Linked DNA regions of Drosophila melanogaster. The protein of the gene in region 1 purifies or fractionates together with the protein of each later gene. This does not show direct contact. Each region holds a gene or a part of one and is shown on either strand. Other genes may lie near its edges. The genes, in order: Slmap and Tlk.

What was found.
Region 2: the proteins of Slmap (region 1) and Tlk purify together in Drosophila melanogaster (affinity purification with mass spectrometry, with the first as the bait; one large-scale study listed by BioGRID). This does not show direct contact.

Annotation. Positions count from the first base shown.
Region 1 is NT_033779.5:22,576,904-22,585,194, reverse strand, and holds the start of Slmap (sarcolemma associated protein), read right to left. Parts: upstream 6,124-8,291; 5' UTR 5,943-6,123; intron 5,446-5,942; exon of another isoform or gene 5,375-5,445; 5' UTR 5,355-5,374; coding exon 4,062-5,354; intron 1,074-4,061; coding exon 513-1,073; intron 454-512; coding exon 1-453.
Region 2 is NC_004354.4:3,770,733-3,776,019, reverse strand, and holds the start of Tlk (Tousled-like kinase), read right to left. Parts: upstream 3,381-5,287; 5' UTR 2,986-3,380; intron 206-2,985; 5' UTR 1-205.

The DNA.
Region 1 (8,291 bases):
GAAGTGTATTTCACTTGTTAAATGAGCTGTTTTTTTCTTGTACGTATCACATTCCTCTTGTAACATATCAATTGCCTGCTCCGTCGGTAATGCATTTGGAATATTAAGATTTTCCTCAACGTCTACAAGCTTTTCCTTACTTTCCGCATTAGGGGCTGACAATTTCGTTGCAGCCGAATCCTCTAAAATTGTATGTGTAGTTGAAGAATGGTTTTTAAAGTGATCCACGATTTCGGATGTATTTCTGCTAACGAACTCTGTTGGAACTGAATCGTTTGCCATATCCTCCTCCTCCTTAACTTTGCATTCAAAGGCTTCATCGTCACCATTAAAAATAGCTTTAAGCACTGAAGATCCTTCTTCTCCCTTGCCAAGATCGGAGTTCTTTAGCAATCTTAAGACGTTCGATTTATAATTGCCTTCTTCTAAATCGGGATTACTTAGTTTTAGCTTCTAGAATTAAATAGGAATATATTAATATATAATAGCATTAAGACTGCTATAAGCATTACCCTTTTTTTCGTTTCAGACAACACATTTTTAGCTGGTGACACAGACAAAATATCATCGTCAGAACTTTCATTATCATCCCTTTCATTTAGCGCTCTATCTTGAGCGTGGTCATAATCGTCAAGATTTATTGTATCTAAGTTTTTTAAGACAATTCGCTCCTTCAAATGTTCAGTATCAGACTCAGATAAATCGCGATGGATTCGCGAGACCTGCAGACGAAGCTCCTTAAGCTCGAGCTCCTGCGTCGTCAGCTTTCCATTTAGCACCTCTAAGCTGCGTGATTCTTGCTCTTTAGCCTCTTGTTCTTGGCGCACTGACTCCTTCTTGAATTCCATGTACTCCTGCTGAAGTTCCTCTAACCGGGTATTGAAATCAGTCAGCGTCTGCTTTAGTGTTAGAACTTGAGCGCGAAGTATGCCGCACTCGTTTTCAGAAGTGGCGTAGGCCATCTCCATCTTAGAGAGCATTTGCATAGCATCGCAGCGTTCCTGGTAGACCTTCCGCAGGGCCTCTTTGGCAGTCAACTGGTACGTTGTTTTGTCCTCAAGAAGCTTTACAATCTATTGAAGACAAAGAGAGAAATATTAAAAAAAAAAAATCAAATTTTACCAAAATATACTTAAAATTTTTTGCAGACAAAATTTTAATATTCAAAGGAGCTACTGACCATTAAGTCGGAAAAAGGTCCTCTTCGAGTTTTTTAAACCCATTTATAAGGGTATATTAATTTCTTTCAAAAAGCTAAAAGGTTGAATTTTCGAGCTATAGAATATTTCCTGTATTCGGTACCTTTTTGTTGTTTTGTCTTATTTCACGCACAAGTTTAAAATCGCATATTCGTATGGTCTCAATTTGCTTGCCTATCTGTATTTTTACCGTTCTGTATGAGTTCTTTGTTTTAGAGCCCTAGAGCACATGTATGTACAGTTTGTCAAGAAACTGTTTACACACTGTAAAATAAGTTGACTTTTTGACTTTAAAGCTAAAAATAAAGGGTTTTTTGCTTAATTAAACGCAATTTTTTTATAAAATATTATTAAACAATATTTATTTTACTTATAAATCAAAAAACAAATTAAAAATATTAAATATACAAGAAAATAAACAACAAATTCCAAGTTTACACACTTTTGAGACTGTCAAGAAACTCTTTACACAAAACACTAAATCGAAGTTTAATCCTAAATTTTTTAATTATTTTATTAAAATTTTAAAAGTTTTGGTATGTAGTATGTTCCCCATTGGCTTTAGCTACAAGTTGAAGCCTTTTTTTCATGGATTGGACAAGTTTTTGCAGGTCATATTCAAACGGGATCTTTTCACACTCTTCGACTATTACAGTCATAAGCTGTTGTTGTGTTTTAGGTCCCTTTTTGCCACCTTCTTCTTTAAGTAGGTCCACAAATTTTCAATGGGGTTCAGATCAGGACTCTGAGGGGGCGTATCGATCACTTTACCACAGTTATTAAGGCGCCAGGTGCGTACATTGCACTCTTTATGTTTCTGATCATGTCTTGGTAAAACTTAAAATTTGGCTTGTTGTTGCTAACCAGACTAATTTTTTCTACACTGGCCTTCAAATTTGTTTTCTAACATTTCTAGATATTGCACGGCATTTATTGTGCTCTCAATTAAGGCTAGTTTTCCCACTCCACGGCTGGTGATACAGCCCCACACCATCAGTGACATTTTTCCAAATTTTATCGTTGGAATGATATTTTGTTTTTCTAGCGCACTCAACGGTTTGCGCCATACTCTGCTTGGCCCGTCGTTATAAAAGAGCATCATTTTTGTTTCGTCACCAAATATGACGTCATCCCAGTACTCTTCCGCATGATCTATCATGCTCACAGCGAATAAATGACGCTTTTCAATATTGGCATCTGACAGCAAAGGGTTTTTCCTTGCAACTCTTGAAGAGTACCTATGGCGTAGGATGACTTGGAGCACAGTTTCGTGTGACACAGCTAGGTGACATTCTTGCCTGATATCCAGAGCAAGTGATCTGACCGAGATTCGGGGGTTCGCAATCACTATTCGCATAATAAAGCGGTCTACACGCTTTTTAATTTTAATTTTCCGCCCACCACCACTCTTAGGTTCAAGCCTGCCCTCTTTTTCCGAGCCTTTTAAAACATTGTAGACGGTCTTACGGGATACAGGAAACATTTATACTAATTCTGGAAAAGATTTTCCCAACTGGTGGTTATAGTTTATTAATTGGGTAACTTTAAAAGTTAATCTCTTTCCAGGCATTTTATTAAATTTAATAATTCGCTTTAAGCACGTTTGATCAGCAAAATTTCACAAGCAAAGTCAACAAAATTTCAATAGAAGCGTTGTAAAAAGCAATGCAAAGCCAAAAATAACGGAAAAATCGAGTTCGTTCTAAGAAAAAGAACAAAACAAAGTAGGAAAACAAAATGTGTAAAGAGTTTCTTGACAGTCTCAAAAGTGTGTAAACTTGGAATTTGTTGTTTATTTTCTTGTATATTTAATATTTTTAATTTGTTTTTTGATTTATAAGTAAAATAAATATTGTTTAATTATATTTTATAAAAAAATTGCGTTTAATTAAGCAAAAAACCCTTTATTTTTAGCTTTAAAGTCAAAAATTCAACTTATTTCACAGTGTGTAAACAGTTTCTTGACAAACTGTATATACATTAGAATATAACTCTTTTAATTCTGTAAATTAGAAAGTGTGGGGTGGGAAACAGCTTTTGGTATCAAATAGGAGTCCCTTATTTTGTACAAAAATAATAGCAATGATCTGTTCGTATCAAATGTGAGGATTGGGTCAGCAAAGCACAATTTGTTTAAGGATTTATTTTTTCTGTTATATAAAAACTGAGAAAAAAAGAGAAAATATACTTTAACCTAAAAATTAGAAACAAATAAAAAGTAACGTTTACAAAATATGTATAACAAATTACTCCACTGGCACCAATCGGTGGCACCAAAATACCATTTGCTCACAATTAAAATACAATACACCTTATACAAATGATTATAATTAATGCGTATTCAAATAATAAAAATGAAGGAATCAATGAATGAATAACAAAATGAAACTCTAAAGCCATTATATACTGCTTTGTTTTAAAGGCACAACCACTAGATATAATTTGATGGGACCGAATTAAATTGCTTAGATTCAGATTTGCTTAATTTTTGTGCATTAAACATTTTGATTATGTTTGTAGTTAAGACAATTCATTATAAGATTTGGTTCAATTTATTTTATCTTGTCCGGTTTGGGAAACAGATTTATTAAAAATTTGCATATTGAAATCTTTAAATTAAAAGGAAAACACAAGTGTGCAAAAATGGTTTTTTAGAGATTCCGTTATACAGGCTAACGGAAAGGTGTGTACGTATTTATGAACAAACTTTTTTAATTGTTCGTGTGAAAGGTTTTTGAGGTTTTGCTTAGTTTCATGCTTAATACCAGTATTCTTGCTTTCATAGTTGTCCAGGATCACAGGATAAAATTGTAAAAAATAAACAAAGGCTTAATTTTTTAATCGGTCGCTAATGGGACTTACCTCGTTTCGCAGTGCATTCTCTGGAATGTTCTTTTCCATCATTTGCAGTTTCTTTTCCAGAATATTTATCTTGTGAAGCAATTGGTCTTCAGTGATCATGCTTTGCCAACACATCGCAGAGTTCTTTCTGGTGTTATCAAGGACGCCTTGCAAGCTGCTTAATTTAGCTTTCAGAGATTTTTCCCTTTGTGCAGCCTCTTGGAGGAACGAGCTTAGGCGCTGCACTTCATCAAAGCTGATTCGGTTAGGCACAGTCAACATCATCTGCTCTGCCTCAACTGAAATGGCCTCTTGTCCATTGGGTAGAAAGAGGGCGACACGGGCCAGGATACACCCGTGTACCTCCTGACGTGAATTCTCAATTACCTCAACGCCGAACTTCACAATATCGCCATAATGTAGTTCCGCTGGATCACTACCCAACTTGTTGTCGTTAATAAAGGTACCGTTGCTGGATTTTGTGTCTTTGACCCAGAATTTACCGTCTGGAGTGTACCACAAAATCGCATGGTTTCTTGACAATACTTTACAGTCAAATATAGCGTTCCCCTCACCCGCCTTACTTTTAGCTATAAGGCGGCCCACCTTGCAATCCTGGTTGGGCTGCAGCAATATAGATCTCGTTTCAAACTTGTGCGACTTTGGTTCACATAGGAGTACGATTTTTGCTGCACCCTTACATGGCGTTGGGGCAGACTCCAATCCTATGTCTAGATCTACGCCAGAAGTTGGGGGCACTGAAGAGACTTGTAAAGTGCCGCATTCCGATGCCACCTCCCTTTGTAAAGCACTATTGTTTAGTACTCCTAGTGGGCTAAACAGACTGCAGGCAGTAGTTACTCGAACTCCAACCCCGGTGTTATTTGCATTCAGCACAGAGTTCATGGCCATATTCATAGCATGCTGGGAAACTTCAGCCGGACGTCGGTCAATACATACTGTGTTGGAATCACAAAGTTCCATATTATTATTTTCCTGGTTCTTCGTGGACGCCTCGTTGTTACTATCAGCCATATCTTCTTTTATGTCCATTATATGAAAGAAATTGTCCTGCTCCAAATTTTTTTCAGTTTCCATGTTTAAAGCGTATTGCGCCTCCTCTGGCTTCACAGCAGGTTCTTCCCCGGATGGATATCTGGTCGTCTGAGGTAATTCCGTGGCCGTGTCGGTTGTGCCAGTTCTGTTTAATGCCGTTGATCCGACTGCTCCTGATGCTGGCGTCGGCGATAATGAACTTGACGTCTGGTCTTCATCAACATTATTTTTTAACCACTCATTGCACACCAAGACCATTACTTTACATCCAAACAAACCTTTGGGGATACGAGAACAAAAGCGGATTAACAAGTTAGTAATTAGTAATACACGAGTGGCTGCTGTTTGACAAATCCGACTAGCCGAAACATTGACAATGAATCCAAATTTTAAAGGCCTGCTTTAATTTAATGTAACTATAAAATTTGTCTTTTCCCGATGAAAATTTGAAAAGGTTTCCGACCACATAAGATATACACACATATGTAAATGCATACATACATACATACATACATACAGAATGAATTTGCATTTGATACAAAAATATGTACGTTCAATAGCAATGTTTTCAAGAATTATTGTAAACAAAAAACTATGCCATTAGTTGGTCATTCTTATGAATTAAGCAATTTTCGAGTTAAGGATGTGCCGATTAATTACGACAACTTAAACCAGGCATTAAAAATGTTTGGAACGGTTGGAAATTGTTTACTTTTTTGATTTAAAAATAAATTATATGGTACGGGGAGGACCGCTTAAGTTCAAGAACATTAAATTCGCAATAATATAAATGTTTGATATTGCGCAACGTTTTTACCTTTATTTTACAATGCACGCTTGGCTTACCTTGGAATTTTGTAATTTTCCTGTATTAATTGTTGCAACCTTCTACCCGTGTTTTTTAGTTTTCTTTAACTTTGAACAATTGTTGTACAAAAACACCTGGTTTCGCGGTAAATTTGTGTGCATACTTAAAATATTTCCGTCAAAATAGCGACAATCAACTGGTGATGAACACGGAACGATGAAAAAAGCGCTAAGCATTATTGTATATAATAATATACAATATACCAGTTTATATACCATATACCAGTTTCTATGTTGACATGCAACGATAGAACCATTCCATTCTGCAATTTCATTTCCAATAAATACAAACAATAATTTTCTAAAATTTTTATAAGAAATAAGATTTAAGAATTTTAAAATGTTTTAGAGCAATGTCGTATGCTAGAAAGGTTAAGAGTATGTTTGTAGTCGGCATACAAATGTTCTGCAATTACATTTCCAATAAAAAGAAACAAATAATTTTCTAAAATTGTTATAATAAGAAAGGAGATTTCGGAATTTTAAAATGTTTTAGAGCAATGTCGTATGCTAGAAAGGTTAAGGGTATGTTTGTAGTCGGCATAAAAATGTGTTTCCGAACCTTAAAGTATAGTGTACTCCTGATCATAAACACTATTCGATCAGGTCCGGTCTGTCTGACTGAAGGCTGTGATCTCGCAAACTACAAAATAGAGCTGGAAGAAACATCGGAGATAGCGCTACATAGATATTTAAAAAAAAATCGGAAACATCGAAATTTTCGGACATCGATGTTAGATTTTTCTGTTTTACCCATCACCATTTGCAGGGAAAGATCTTGCTAAGCTAATCGGCTAATGGCAAGACAGACAAATGTATTAAGTGGGGCAAGACACCAAACAAGTGCGAATAATACTAACTTGTCTTGCCACGTAATGAGGATACATATTAATTTAACAGTCAGTGAATTGCCACAAAGGCAACAGCAGTCAATTCTGTCATTTATTGACAAAATAATGAAACGTTGACGAATCGAAAACAAGTGCTCTACGCTACTACATTGGCTCAGACTTGCGCGGATTCGGATTTCGACGAAACAACTTATTTTTCTGAAAACATTGCAAACTTAATCCGCACAGTAATTGATGAACGCCCATATAGTTTGAAACAATAGAAATAGGTTATAGAAAATAAAATATATATGTATAGAAAATCCAGTTGGAATGGCGCGTTTTACCTGCTGAAACGATTTTTGATTACAAAGGTTGCTATCGCAACTGTTCTACTGAACCAAAGTCTCTAGAATAATAAAGAATTATTGTAGTGTCTTTGACTGAACACTCTCAAAGGGTTGGTTATTGCCGTAAATATCGAATAAAATATTCATTTTCGAGGATTTGAAGGCAATACTTTAACCTTTAGAGCATGCAACGGTTAAAGTTTACAAATTGTTCAAAATTGTGGGCGTGACCGGGTTGACGGCTTTTGGTCGTTAGAGTAGGCGTGTAAAAAGTTTTTGGCATATCGATATAAATTTTAGCGACTAATAGAATTATGAAAAAAATATCGAAAAAAGGTTTAAAAATGTGTGTTTTGCGCGGCATTTTTGGGAGGTTTTAGGGCGTTAGAGTGGGGCTGGCAGGTTTGTGTGCGTGGCAACATGGGTCAACCAACTTGCGCTGCGTCTTTTTCTGTGTTCTAGCTTTTTAAAATTCCTGGGATCTCGACGTTCATACGGAGAGAGGCCAGATAGACTCGGCTATTGATCCTGATCTAGAATATTTACACTTTATATGGTCGGAAACGCTTCCTTCTGCCTGACATACTTTTCAACGAATCTAGTATAACCTTTTACTTTATGAGTAACGGGTATAATGAGTGCATATCTTAATTATAGTTTGCAGCTTTATCGATGTTTGTTTTATTTTCTTTTAAATTGAATTCATTTTTCATTATAATTTTTGTGTTTGACGAGAAAGTAGTTTTAAGTTTCATTTTGATTTTCAGGCAATAAAAACACCAAAGTATGAATTTTAAATTTATAAAGAACTTTTACCCATTTTGATTTAGTTTTGGTATTCATTTTTAATATGATAATGACTAAAATACATTAAAAAACACCCTTAAAAATTTCGATGTATTGATACATCGATGGAGGTAAACATCAATGTTTTTCCAGCTCTACAAGACAGCTAAAATACGGGATTATCGATACTGTCGCCGTTCGAGTGGATTTGCCTTCAACGGCTACTCTCCTTGGATCCCGAAGGAAAGGAAAGACTCTTCCTGGCAGTAGTAGTGTGGCGCCCAGACTGAAGCCCGGTCTGGCATCACGGCGAAAACAGGTACTAACGCCAAGACCTTTCCTGGAGGACGATATCTTCTGAT
Region 2 (5,287 bases), on another chromosome or scaffold:
TCAGCGGTGCTCCTCTCGCTGCTGCTCTGCGGCTCTGCCATGCTCTCGTTGCTTCGCGATGTTTCGCGCTTGTTCTTGTTGGCAAGACCGCTGACTGCGCTGCCCACGCTGACTTCGGCGTTAGAAAGCTTGCACATTCGCTAACTGCAATGCAATTACATATTTTTTTAATCCCCTTATCCACAGCATTTTATTCAGGGTATATCTGTAAATCATTTCACATACATATGTAGTTTAAATAATTTTTATATCCAAATCTATTAGCTTCGTTTGACTTTTTATTTTTTGATGGCTGCATTTATTATTTCGTTCAACTTGCGCAGCTCACGTTAAGAATGCAAATGTTAACACATACAAAACGCATATACACATACACACATACATACACATGTATGTACATTTCGTAATCGAAAGCAACCGCAACAAATAAAACCCTCGTATTAATTTGTTTCAGTGCTGTTTAATCACAATTATAGCCACAACAAAACTATTGTTTATGGATTAATAGATATGTATGGTCATGTATGTACATAAACTTTACGACGTTTTTAGGAGAAATAAATAAGAACAATAAAACTGAAAATGATGACACTTTTTAATAAAAAAAAATATCGAATCATTTTGTAGTATTTTCGCCAATATTGTAAATGAAAGAGAGAAGGCAATACTTGTGCCGTTACTTCGCCGACAAAATGCAAGCTAACGGTTGCCTTGCCAATGACAGGTGATGAAGCAAGACAGAGAGGGGGACAAAAAAAAAACGAGACAGAGAAATAATGCGGGGCTGTGGGCACTTTTATACATTCTCTGTCTATTTTTTTCATTCGTTTTGGGATATATTAAGGGAGAAGATAAATTAAATTTGCACATACACAAATAAAGTCATTGGTGTAGATGGTGTACATACATACGTATGTATTGGTCATAGGTAAAACACTCATTTTTGCATATTTCGGATTTTCACAAGCAAAAGAAAATCAATGAACTCAAATCTGCAATTTTCCCTGGTTTCTTCCTTTTTTTTATTTTCTTTAGGATTTTTCAGCGATTTTTACTTTTTAATGGATGAGTTGTGTTGCACTTTTTTGCGATTCGTCGCTGATTTTTCCTCCATTTGATTTGTGAAACTTTCACCAGAAACAAGTCAACAACAACTGTGCCAGAGCAAAATGATTAAATTTTTCTACACACTTTTATGTACCTGTTTTCTCCTTTTTTTTTGCATATGAGTGAGTTAGTTAGAGAGTGTTTGTGTGTTTGTATGTGCATATGCTTTCCCAGGCCTTCGAAAATTAAAAACCAAATGCCAGCTGACGTAATCACGCAGCATAACAAATAAGAAAACAGAAAATAAAAGATTCGGTGTATAAAACAAAAGTTTTGTGAATTGGGCGCGCGTGTGTCTCCGTCGTCAAGTTGAGTCAATCAACAAATACACACGGACACTACATAGTCAGATGTGCACACGAAACGACAGTAAAGTCTCCTCAAAACAAACGCGAGTTATTTAATCTATCTAAAAGAAATAAACACAATTCCAAAAAAGATCTTTTTGATCTTGTAGATAGTTTCTAGATCTACTATTTGTGTTGTCTTTGATGTTACAAAAAATTCATAAAATTTGGGGCGACACAATGAATACAATACCAGGATTTACTGTAGATCTATACGTACATACATATGTATGTATGTACATAATTGTGAATTGTTAAGCAGTTGTCGCACAATCAGAAAAATAGCAAAGCAAAGTGAGCAAAACAGAGACACTGATAGATAAAGAAGACGAGGTGAAAAAAGATTGAAAAAATCACGAACAAACATATGAAGGGATATGTTATCGAACACGTTAAAAGTCAAGATTTAAAAGAATTTTATACGATTTCAATCATCTGGGTCAACCGAAAAAGATAAGAAAAATTATTTGATAAATACATTTTCTACATTTTCTGCATACCCCCCTAATTAGACTTTAATTCGGCATTTCCGATCAGAAATTCTATAAAAATCGCGTAATCAATTAGAAAAAAGAAGACGGAACGAATGGAAAGCATAACTAGTTAGAATGTTTAAAAGCTTTATGAGATGAAACCAGGCAAATACCTTAAATATGCGACAAGCTTTCGACGTTTATCTGTTTGCCTTTGCTTGTCGTTGGCCTTTTGTTGTTTCCCTTTTGATAACAAACGGCGAGTATGACAAATAAAACAAAAGAAACCTACAAAAAAGCATTGAGAACGAGAATCAACAAATTAACATGCCGCGAATGTAGAAACACAACAATGGCGAAAAAAACATAGAGAACCTCATGTGGGAGAGGCAAAGAGGGCCAAAAACAAAACAGCACAATGAAAAGTGGAGAGCAATAGTGTTGCTCAATATAATTTTATGTGCTTCATTTGGAATAAATATTTAAAAAATATGGATGGATTTGGAAGCTCATATCTTATATAGAAATAACAATTATATCGGTTTGTATAACAAAATCGACCTAATATTTTTTTCATTTCGACGCCAATAAAAGTATGTAAATTCTAATGGTAAATTTAATTTGTCTTACAATTAGATCTGGCGGGGAAAACCGTTGAACTGACAGCACTGTTACTCTCGCAGAGTCGTCTAATTATGCTGAACCAACAAATACAACTATAACAAGAACAGGCAAATGAGGTGTGAGAAGGGGATAAGAGAGAAAGAGAGCGACCCAGTCAGTGGAAAAGACGGCGACCCACGACAACAAAAAACGCAGCGAGTGACGAAGAACGAGTTGCTCTCGTCTCCTCTATTTTTCACACCCTCCCCGACCCTTTTTTTGTGGATAACTTAAAAACAGTTTAATTTACTATTTGAGCAAACGCGAAATGCAAAAACAATCAGCACACACATTCATACACATACGAACACTCGCAAATAAAGAAATTGAACAAAAGAAAATGAACGGACACAGAGGAAAGAGTGGCGGAATAAAATAAATAAAAGGCAACTGACGTTTGACGACGTGTCGTCGTTTTCGTTTTGCGTTTTTGTTCGCCGTTTGCCTTCCTTGCTTCTTTCGCTTTACTCTTTGGTTTGCGCTTCGTTTCGGCTGCGCGTGTTTTTCGTTTCAGTTATTATTGAGACTAAAAATGCGGCGTGAGATTTGATTGTGAGTAAGCGCAACGCAAAGCGCAAATCGTCAAAGCGACAGCGCTGGCAGTGGCAGCGACGTCGGCAGAGTACGCTTCACACAAAAAAATATATAAAACTGTAGTAATAATAATAAAAGGCGACAGAACAGAAAATTCGCACAAAATAAAAACTCACGAATGACGGATTGAAAGCAAAAGACGAAAAGTTGAATACCCTATCAAATCCTCAGTGAAAACATTACAATGTCAAAGTTCAAAAAATAAATGTCGAAAATTAATTCTAAATGGACTTGTGTTGAATTATTAGGCTTCCAAAGTTAAGCATAAGTCACCGATATTATTGGGATTGGGCGTTTGGGCCAGACGACGGGCGAGGGGCGTGTCATATTGTTAAATACGCTTCTTATTTGCTGGCCGAGTCAAATATTTCATATGAGGTAATCGACATTGTCGTCGTGAATATACATATTTTGTTTATCGCAAATGTATAAATATACCCGGCAAAGCAAAACAAACCGAAAATTGCCAAAAAAAAAGTAAATAAAAAACAAGGCAAGGGAGCAAGAACAGAAACATTACCGCATCTGTTGGAATGAATAATATTCCCCATTTTGTTACATTTTTTTTCTAGCATTCATGAATACATCCAATACCCATGATGTGTACATTCATAGGTGAGAAATCTTGACAAAAATTTCAATTCTTAGCAGAATGGAATTGTTTAGGACTTAAAAAAAAATAAAATTAAAACGAAACTGCAGGGGAAATTAGTTTATTTTTAGAGGTATTCAAGAGGGCAGAGAAAAGAGCGAGATCTAAATAAATAGGTATCGAAAAGATGGGGCATAATACATTCATACATACATACATCCTATACTATCCCTGCAGTTTCATAATTCATCGCTCTTGAAAAACATTATAAAATCATCGCTTAAGCCAGCAGAACTGGTTTTTCTAAATCCGTAGGACATTTATTTATACAAATTGATAAAAAAAAATGGAATTTATTGTAATAAAAAAGCGCGAATTAAGTGATGAAAAAGCGAAGAATCGAACTGCGGATTGAATCGGAAACGGAATGGCTCTATAAGTTAACTTCATTATTCTTATCAACGGGAAAATGTGTTACGTACATATACAAACATATATGTATGGACATACATATGTATGTGAAAGCAAGTATATTATGTACACAAAGAGAAAGATAACGAATGCAGAGGAAGCAGCTGAAAAAGTGGGGAATACACCAGAGATTGTGTATTCTCGGAGCCACATTCCCCATATATTTCCAACAAGGTAGCAGCAAGGTACTACCAAAAAGGCATAGAAAAAAACATAAATATACATTTGTAAAATATATGTATGTACAATACAAATCTTATTCAATTATGGGGTTTGTTGCAATTCCAACTTGATTAGCGCTATTTGCGATTTTGTGTTTCCTTCTAAACGTATGTATGTATGTATGTATGTATGTATTTGCCATTCCGCGTAGATTACCAATCGGTTTTATAAATATAAACCAGAAATCGGCAAACTGAGCACCTCAATCGATTTGTCATTGAAATTGTGTGTATAAATGAGGCACAAATTACGATTCTGGGGATGAGCGCATGTTTAGAGCATGGGGCATGTAGTGTAGTTGGTGACTCAACTCGACTCAGGGTACACACCCCACCCCTGCCAACCACCGACATTATTTGACCGACTCTTAGGCCCGATCATCTTTATCGGCTGACTGTCATAGTCCAGTCGATTCGAACGGAGAGCCAGCCAGCAAAAGCCAAGACTGAGAAGCCAGAAGTCAGGATAGCCGCCTTCGATTGCCTTTTGGCTGTGGGTTAAACACAACCCGTTTGTTTCCCTGTAAATCGGCATACATATATATAAAATGTATGTATGTATATGTAACATACATATGTATATAGAAGCGTATACGCATTATTTATTGAACGAATCTGCTTCGCTTTGCGCTTATTTCTGTTTTCCTTTTCGAATGCCTATTGAGTTATTGATTTTGATTCTCACATTTTTGTGTGCCCCTCGGATTCTCCCCTTCCCTTATCTTGCAGTTTGCTTTTTTTTTTATTTTATTTTGTAACCAAATGTACAATATATGTATGTATGTATAGTGGGTATGGGAAAATCTATCGAGGTGCGCT